2 linked regions of the Rattus norvegicus genome follow. The protein of the gene in region 1 interacts with the protein of each later gene in a biochemical or structural test. Links are inferred from orthologs where the notes say so. Each region holds a gene or a part of one and is shown in the gene's direction. Other genes may lie near its edges. The genes, in order: Glg1 and Sele.

Region 1 (3,816 bases):
AATAATTGGTCTACCAAGCTAGAAAAGGCCATCTGAGGAGCCTTGTTTAGATTGCTCTTAAAGCTATCTAAAGAAAGTTGTTTACTCTCTTCTCTGAAGATCAGGTTTGGGAAGTCTATGAGTTCATGCCATGTGCAACACATGTCAAGTTAACCTTCCTTCTGTGGAATCACAGAGTAGCCTTCTTTGTGATAAGTCCTAGAACAATGTGATTTCTTTTCAGAATCGCCAGTGAACTTTGAAACCAGAAGAGAGCTTAAGTGTCTGGCATCAAGACGGTGTGGAGAGGGCACAGTCCACTAGGAAGCTGTTATGCTGAGCCTTGGGCACATGGGAGAATCAGAAATGTTAGCTTTAGAAGCCCGGGTTTCCAAAGACAGTGGCGTTGTTTCAGCTGTCCCTAAGGAGCAGGCCCAGTCAGAGTCAGCAACAGGCACCATGAATTCAGGGCTGGCTGGGCAGAGTTGGTCTTCTCTGGAAGCCAGTTATTTCTCAGCAGGATAGCCCTGTTTTCTCTTTCCTGAATAGATTGCTAATTTATGTGCTGAAGAAGCAGCAGCCCAGGAACAGACAGGCCAAGTGGAAGAGTGCCTAAAGGTCAACCTGCTCAAGATCAGGACAGAGCTGTGTAAAAAGGTAGCCACACCCTCACCGTGCCTATCTCCTATCTCCTTTTCTCTATTTTCCTCTTGATCCTATTGCATTATTTATTGAAGGAGAGACAGAATAATGGTCAAGAAGCATATTATGGTTTGGAAAGAGGTAACAGCATAGAATGCTGGGTAGGAAGGCTTATATTTTGTATTTTGAATACCTTTTTGGTTTTTTTGAGACAAGGGTCTCTCTGTGTATCCCTGGCTGTCTTGGAACACACTCTTTAGAGCAGGCTGGCCTCAAACTCACAGAGATCCACCAGCCTCAGCCTCCCAAGTGCTTATGCCACCACAGCCAGCTTGAATTTCGTTTTCAACCAGCTCCTACCTTTCTTCAAAATGTGGACTCAAACGCATTCAGCACGGCCTTTGTAAAATAGACTCTTATTTGATTGAGTGCGTGCGTGCGTGCGTGCGTGCGTGCGTGCGTGCGTGCGTGTGTGTGATCTGCATGTGCATTTGTGCATATAAGTCCCTGGTGCCCAAGGAAGCCAGAGGTACTGAATATTGTAGGTGCTAGGAACCAAATTCAGGTCCTCGGAAGAGCAGCAAGTGCCATGTCCCTAGCCTCTTGATTGAAAATAGAGCTCAGAAGTCAGCCTTACAGCTGTGTGTTAAGATTCTCAGTCCTTATTGTTCAGTTTTCCTACAGTAAAAGAACAACTATTAAATCAATAAAATTCTAACGTATACATACTTTAAAATAATGTGGCATGCCAGAGTGCCAGGGACCCTACCTGATCATCCGTCATGGACGCACTGTCCTAGCTTCCTCAGAGGTAGTTAACAGATTAAATTAGGTGCCAGAAGTCTGTATTCTGTGCAGATTTAGCAATGTTACCGCCCACCTTCCCAGACTAGTTTCTTGGTCACCTTCACTCTTTGGCTTGTTTGTTTGCATGTTCTGTAGAGTGTTACAAACACAGATTGGATACATTTCTTCTACAAAGCTCCCCACAATGAACTTCCCTTTCAGGAAGTGTTGAACATGTTGAAGGAAAGCAAAGCAGACATCTTTGTGGATCCAGTTCTTCACACAGCGTGTGCCTTGGACATTAAACACCACTGTGCAGCCATCACCCCCGGCCGTGGGCGTCGTGAGTAATGTTTGTTCAGTCTGTCCCTGTCTGAACTGTCTTGGGTGGGACAAAAACTACCTGTGAGTTACCAGGTGCAGCTATTCTATTCTGTGTCTCTTATCCCAGCCACATACAGCATCTCTACGTGTCAGCTTGATGGTAAAGCTAGGCCTTGATGGCCATGAGTTTGGGAACAGTTGTACAGGTATGAATTGACCAGAGCCAGAGATTTCATGAAAAAATACATTTGTGCTATTTATTAGAGAATCAATAATTCAGGTATAGCTAGGCATAGTGGTGCACACCTTTAATCCCAGCACTTAGAGGCAGAGAGAGGCAGATCTCTTTGAGTTCAAGGCCAGCCTGGTCTGTAGAGAGAGTTCCTGGAAAGCCAGAGCTGCATAGAGAGACTTGTCTTCTTAAACAGTTCAGTCACCATCAGTATCCTCTTTCCCTCCCCACACTGAGCATCCCAGGGGCCCTCGAAGGCACCATGGCAGCTGCTGGGCGTCTGGACCCCAGGTGACAGACAACTTGTTTCTGAGCCAGGGACACCCAACAAAAATAGGAGGTGATAAGAGATCTTGAGCAGCTGACGCTGGAAACCACACTCCTCGCCAGTGGGATCTTGATTAAGGTTCTTGGAAGGAATTTGATCAGTTGGTCCCAGAGAGCTGAGTTCTCAGGTGCTTGAGAATCTTCTGGCAGATTTGGCAGCCATCACTTCCGTGCAGTCGCAAGCCTCTGCCGTTTGCTTCCACAGAGATGTCCTGCCTGATGGAGGCCTTGGAAGACAAGCGCGTGAGGTTGCAGCCCGAGTGCAAAAAGCGCCTGAATGACCGAATCGAGATGTGGAGTTATGCAGCCAAGGTAAGGACCAAGAGAGCTCCTGATGTGGCAGCCTCTTTTGCCAGTTTTTATCTCTGTGGCATATGTGACTGGTGTTATCCTGGCTAGAAATCGAGCAAAAGGTATATTTCAAAAATCAGGTCAGGTGTGATGGTGTACAGGCTGTATAGAGAATCCCTGTCTCAAAGGAAAAAAATTATTGTTTCTAAATCTGGACTGTTTATGAACCCTGAAATACCATCGCCCTCACAGAAAACTAAGTCTACAAAACACTGTCTCAGTTTCCCAGACCCCAGTACTGACAAGTCATCGTTCCTCATAACTGTCAGCCATCCCTTCACTCCTCAAGGAGTGAAGTCGCGTGTGAAGCCCCAGGTTAGGTGGGACAGCAGACACTAAGTCGTCCTCCTCCCCTTTGAGCTGCTCAGGTTGAGGCTGAGTGACTCAGAGTCGCTCACTGCTTGTTGTGGGCCAGCAAATCTCACTAATCGCCCCCTTCCTACGCCGCTCTTACATATCTACCAGGAACGTAGGAGCCACTCAGGTTTCCCTTGACCACGCTTCCGGGACCATACCCAAAAGAGCAGTTTTATGTGCACTTAGGAAACCTTTGGTCCTGACTCTGTCATCTGAGGCACCACACTGATCCATTGGCGGATGCAGTAGGAATTAAGGATGAAAAGAGTTAAACCATCAATGTCCAAGACTGCTGTGTGCTAAAGTGTAGTCTGTCATTTTAAGCGATGATTATACATTGTTTTTGATGTGGAAATACTTACAACGTAGTGCTTAATAAGTAAAGTCAAAATAAGAAACTTGATGGAGAACAGCCAGTGCTGTGGTGCCCGCCTGTAACCCCAGTGCTTGGTGCCTGAAGCACGTGCATCACAAGTCTGAGGCCAGCATGCAGGACCTTCATCTAAAAAGAAACACATCAAAACGGCACTTTTTATCCACAAAAGAAAAGGAAGAAAAGAAAAACATAAAATGTGGTCTCGGCTTTTCAGGCTCATGCAAGCAGCATCAGGAGCTGCTGGTGGCGCACTGACCGCTCCTGAGGATGACCTTGGTCCCCTCCTCTGGCTCAGTTTGGGCAGGAAACCTATAGCGTATGGCCCAAGAACAGTGTTGTAGCTGTGTTGGTTTCCTTCCCTGGCTCCCTGTGAACTAAAAGATAGGAATTAGGATATACATGATGGCTGAGGGACAAACCTGAAGAGCAGAGGCCAATCCCG
Region 2 (4,364 bases), on another chromosome or scaffold:
TACATGTGCTGGACAATAACAGCCATATTCAGCTAAGTAAACAGAGGTGATGAGGGGTGAGACAGTGTCGATATCCAGGAAGTAGAGATGGAAGGACAGGACACAGTTTTATCTCCCGTTTAATTTGTATTGTATAAAAACATTATGATATATGAATGAAGATTTTTTTTTGTAACATCATCATAGCTAATGAATAGAAAGTGAGAAAAAACATGCTCGTGAATGACTCCCTTGGGCCACAGTGCCTGTGAGGATGGGCTAAGGTAGCAGTGGCTGGGGAGAAACTGGGTCCTGATGCATAAGCAACAGTTACACACAAGAAAATTGAGAGCGACAGATCGTGGGTAATAAAACATTCTTCACAAATCAGAGAAAGAACTGGAAGAGCTTGAAGGGGCTCGAGACCCCATATGTACAACAATGCCAAGCAACCAGAGCTTCCAGGGACTAAGCCACTACCTAAAGACTATACATGGACTGACCCTGGACTCTGACCTCATAGGTAGCAATGAATATCCTAGTAAGATCACCAGTGTAAGGGGAAGCCCTGGGTCCTGCTAAGACTGAACCCCCAGTGAACTAGATTGTTGGGGGGAGGGCGGCAATGGGGGGAGGGTTGGGAGGGGAACACCCATAAGGAAGGGGAGGGGGGAGGGGGATGTTTGCCCGGAAACCGGGAAAGGGAATAACACTCAAAATGTATATAAGAAATACTCAAGTTAATAAAAAAAAAAATCTTCACTTGCTTATGTTTGTGAAACCAAGTTCTACACACAATTGATAATGGTAATTAGACTTTAGAGGCCAGGGATTAAAATCACACACTTGTATCGTATTTGATAAAACCGCATATAAATTACAAGAGCCCAGATAAAGGATTAGCTTAGAGGGCCAGAGTCTCTGACATCACTGTGAAAGTGTTTTAGTTCTCAAAAAACTTTCTGGGTTCGGATGAGGATTTCCTCTTTACCAGATTTTGATAATAATGCTCTGTGACTCACAGGAAGCCAGCTCCCTATAAAGAGACTCCAGCAGCAGACACGATACTCACTGGTCCTCGACTGACTGCACATCAAAACTGCTAGAACAGAGAGAAAGAAGCAGGATCAATAACACCCAAGGAATCCAACCCCCGAACAACATCTCATCTAACAGTAAGTGCAGATTCCGAGCCACAGGAGCCTTGGGCCTGAAGCATAGATTTATATCTGTGCGCACATATGCAAAAAGGCATTCTGATAAAAGAAATCTGTCCAAACTGTGATAGCATTGCAATTAAAACCCACCTTCTCTCTGTTCAAAATGATGGGAATCTTAACGTTTGCATTTATTCTTCATGCTAGATGCCTGTGAAATAAAGCAGGAGCTACAGGATTCTAAAACCTCACAGTTTTGACTTGAATGTTACGATAGAAGGGTGTGAGTAACCCGCACTTAGAATGTCCTTCTGTGACTAATTTAGCACTCTCTCCTCAGGAAAGTTTCTCCGGTCTAGCATCTGGATGAAAGGAAGTGCTGGGGTCATGAATGCCTCGTGCTTTCTCTCTGCTCTCACCTTTGGTAAGCTGGAGTCATCGGAGACCAGGGATCTTTACACTCGCTCACCCCTCTCACTCTTAAGATCAGGGTATTTTGCTGTGTGGGGCTATCCTGGTGGTTAGCAGGACTGATGACCTATCCTTGCAGGGTTCTGCCTTATGGGGGAAGGATGGATCTTAAGCGATCTATTCAGGCGTTGTGAAGGTTCATTCATTTGGTTCTTGAAAGGGGACTCAAACAGGTGTCCCCCAGCATCCACTGAAGTTTGCTTTCTCTGACCTCCATTGTACTGTGAAGTTGGAGTATAACATTGTGGTTGCCATGAGGCACCAGCAGATGTGCAGTCAAACAGTGATCTATAGACATGCTCTCACCTTCAGGTGTTGTTCTTCTTACTTTTAAAATCAATAGTTTGAGCCAACACAAAAGCCTGTAAGTGCCAAAAGCAAGACAACACAATTCAGGACTAAATGTTGTTATTTCTTTCTTACCCAACCCAGTTCTCCTCATTGGAAAGAGCATAGCTTGGTACTACAATGCCTCCAGTGAGCTCATGACATATGATGAAGCAAGTGCGTATTGTCAACGGGACTACACACATCTGGTGGCGATTCAGAACAAGGAAGAGATCAATTACCTAAACTCCACTCTGAGGTATTCACCAAGTTATTACTGGATTGGAATCAGAAAAGTCAATAATGTATGGATCTGGGTGGGGACCCAGAAGCCTCTGACGGAGGAAGCTAAGAACTGGGCGCCAGGTGAACCAAACAACAAACAAAGAAACGAGGACTGTGTAGAGATCTACATCCAAAGACCCAAAGACTCCGGCATGTGGAATGACGAGAGATGTGACAAAAAGAAACTGGCTCTGTGTTACACAGGTATGAAATTTCCATGTGGCAGAAGGCCAGTTCTGTGTGGAGGCAGCCTGACAGATTTAGAGTGTGTCAAGTAGTTGATCTCTCTGTGCACATTTTCTGGTTTTTAAATAGATGATTATAAAAGATTTTAATAGTGATTGCATCTCTTTTTACTGATTTGTGCGAGTAAAGGCAAGAACTATACAAATATGTATACTTACATATATCATTGTACCGATATACAGAGTCTATGTACTCACAATGTTTTAGCTATTCTACTGGTATGCCTTTATTACCATCAAAATATACAATAGATGAGCCTGGAACTTGAATCTGGCCTGTCAGTCAAATGTTCGAGCAATAATGTCATTGGTTTTATCTGGATTGCACTGACTCTAAATTAAAAACAAACAAACAAGCAAACCCATGATGAGCACCATGATAGTTGATTCTCTTCATAAGACCTGTGCTTCTTGTAGCTTCCTGTACCAACACATCCTGCAGTGGTCACGGTGAATGCGTTGAGACCATCAATAGTTATACCTGCAAATGTCACCCCGGCTTCCTGGGACCCAAGTGTGACCAAGGTAAATCTTGACCTCCCCTGTACCTTCTCCAAAGATGGTAACACCTTCTAGTGTTCCAGATAGCTCGTCAGTCGGGCCCAAGTGTTTCCTCTAACAAAATACACCGAGTAAGAGTGATATAGTAGCTAAGGCTATGAGATCAGACCCTCATGGGTCAATCTCTAGACTTACTACCCGTATTACTTATGGCACCTTGACAAAGTAGTCTTACGGGGTGACTGACTATTCCAGTTGTCATGAAACTAAGTAACGTGCTGTGGCAGCTAGCTGTAGCTTAGCGTTTTAGGTTCCAGAGAACTATAAAGATAATAATAGGAACAGCTCCATCATCTAATGGCTCCATAGAACCTGGACATAGTTATGTGTGATAACTATGGTGAGGTGAGGAGAAGTACGACTTGATTCTTTTTTTTCCAGTTGTGACCTGCCAAGAACAGGAATACCCTGACCATGGAAGCCTGAACTGCACCCACCCATTCGGCCTCTTCAGCTATAATTCATCCTGCTCCTTCAGCTGTGAAAGGGGCTATGTGCCCAGCAGCATGGAGACCACAGTGCGGTGTACGTCCTCTGGAGAGTGGAGTGCACCTGCTCCTGCCTGCCATGGTAACTCTCCCAATGCATCAAACCTTTCCACTGCTCCTCATTGCCTTAGATTTTATCCAACTTGTAACTTTCCCCAATTCTGTGGAAGATGTGTTCTTCTCTCTCTGGTACCAGTTTGGTTTAGCATAGGATTTCTTTTCCACTTTTTTTTTTTGAAAATAGGTATTTCTGAGATTCTGGTGACATGTAAAGGAAGGGGTCTAGACAGTGGAAGCATGTCTAGACAGCCTCATAACTTTCTCATGGACTTTCCTGTTTGGCTCTCCCATGCAATGGGACCTTGTTTAGTTCTGAATTGATCACGAAGCTTCTCTTTGCACAACAATTTAGTACTCTGGAGCAATTGAAAAGTTCACTGCTTAAGTCCTTTGTATGTTAATATTGCCTTTACACCACGTCATGGATCTTGATCTAGAGGCTGTTGTTTTCTTTGTTTTTCTTGTTTCCATGTGTAGTAAAATAGATCAGAGGCCAGCCAGCATAGTTAAAGTGAATAGTAAAGACTAAAGCATCCATTATGAGTCTGCATGTTATCAAGAAATTGGCACAGGGGTTTGGGCTATGCCCTTTGAAGATGGGTTTCACCTTCTTTGATAAACCCTAATTCAAGAGAAAATGAAAACATCTGTAATTTTCTTTGAGTAAAGCTCTCTCTTCTCTTTCATCTCCTCAGTGGTTGAATGTAAAGCTTTGACCCAACCTGCCCACGGAGTCAGGAAATGTTCCTCAAATCCTGGGAGCTACCCATGGAATACAACGTGCACGTTTG

The links.
Region 2: the proteins of Glg1 (region 1) and Sele form a complex in vitro, tested with the Homo sapiens proteins (2 studies listed by BioGRID and IntAct). The link is inferred for Rattus norvegicus from reciprocal best matches to the Homo sapiens genes GLG1 and SELE.

Annotation. Positions count from the first base shown.
Region 1 is NC_086037.1:56,039,433-56,043,248, reverse strand, and holds part of Glg1 (Golgi apparatus protein 1), read left to right. Parts: intron 1-528; coding exon 529-636; intron 637-1,563; coding exon 1,564-1,750; intron 1,751-2,495; coding exon 2,496-2,602; intron 2,603-3,816. UniProt on the Homo sapiens protein: Binds fibroblast growth factor and E-selectin (cell-adhesion lectin on endothelial cells mediating the binding of neutrophils).
Region 2 is NC_086031.1:78,934,991-78,939,354, forward strand, and holds the start of Sele (E-selectin precursor), read left to right. Parts: upstream 1-1,523; coding exon 1,524-1,560; intron 1,561-2,039; coding exon 2,040-2,423; intron 2,424-2,881; coding exon 2,882-2,989; intron 2,990-3,406; coding exon 3,407-3,595; intron 3,596-4,268; coding exon 4,269-4,364. UniProt on the Homo sapiens protein: Cell-surface glycoprotein having a role in immunoadhesion. Mediates in the adhesion of blood neutrophils in cytokine-activated endothelium through interaction with SELPLG/PSGL1. May have a role in capillary morphogenesis.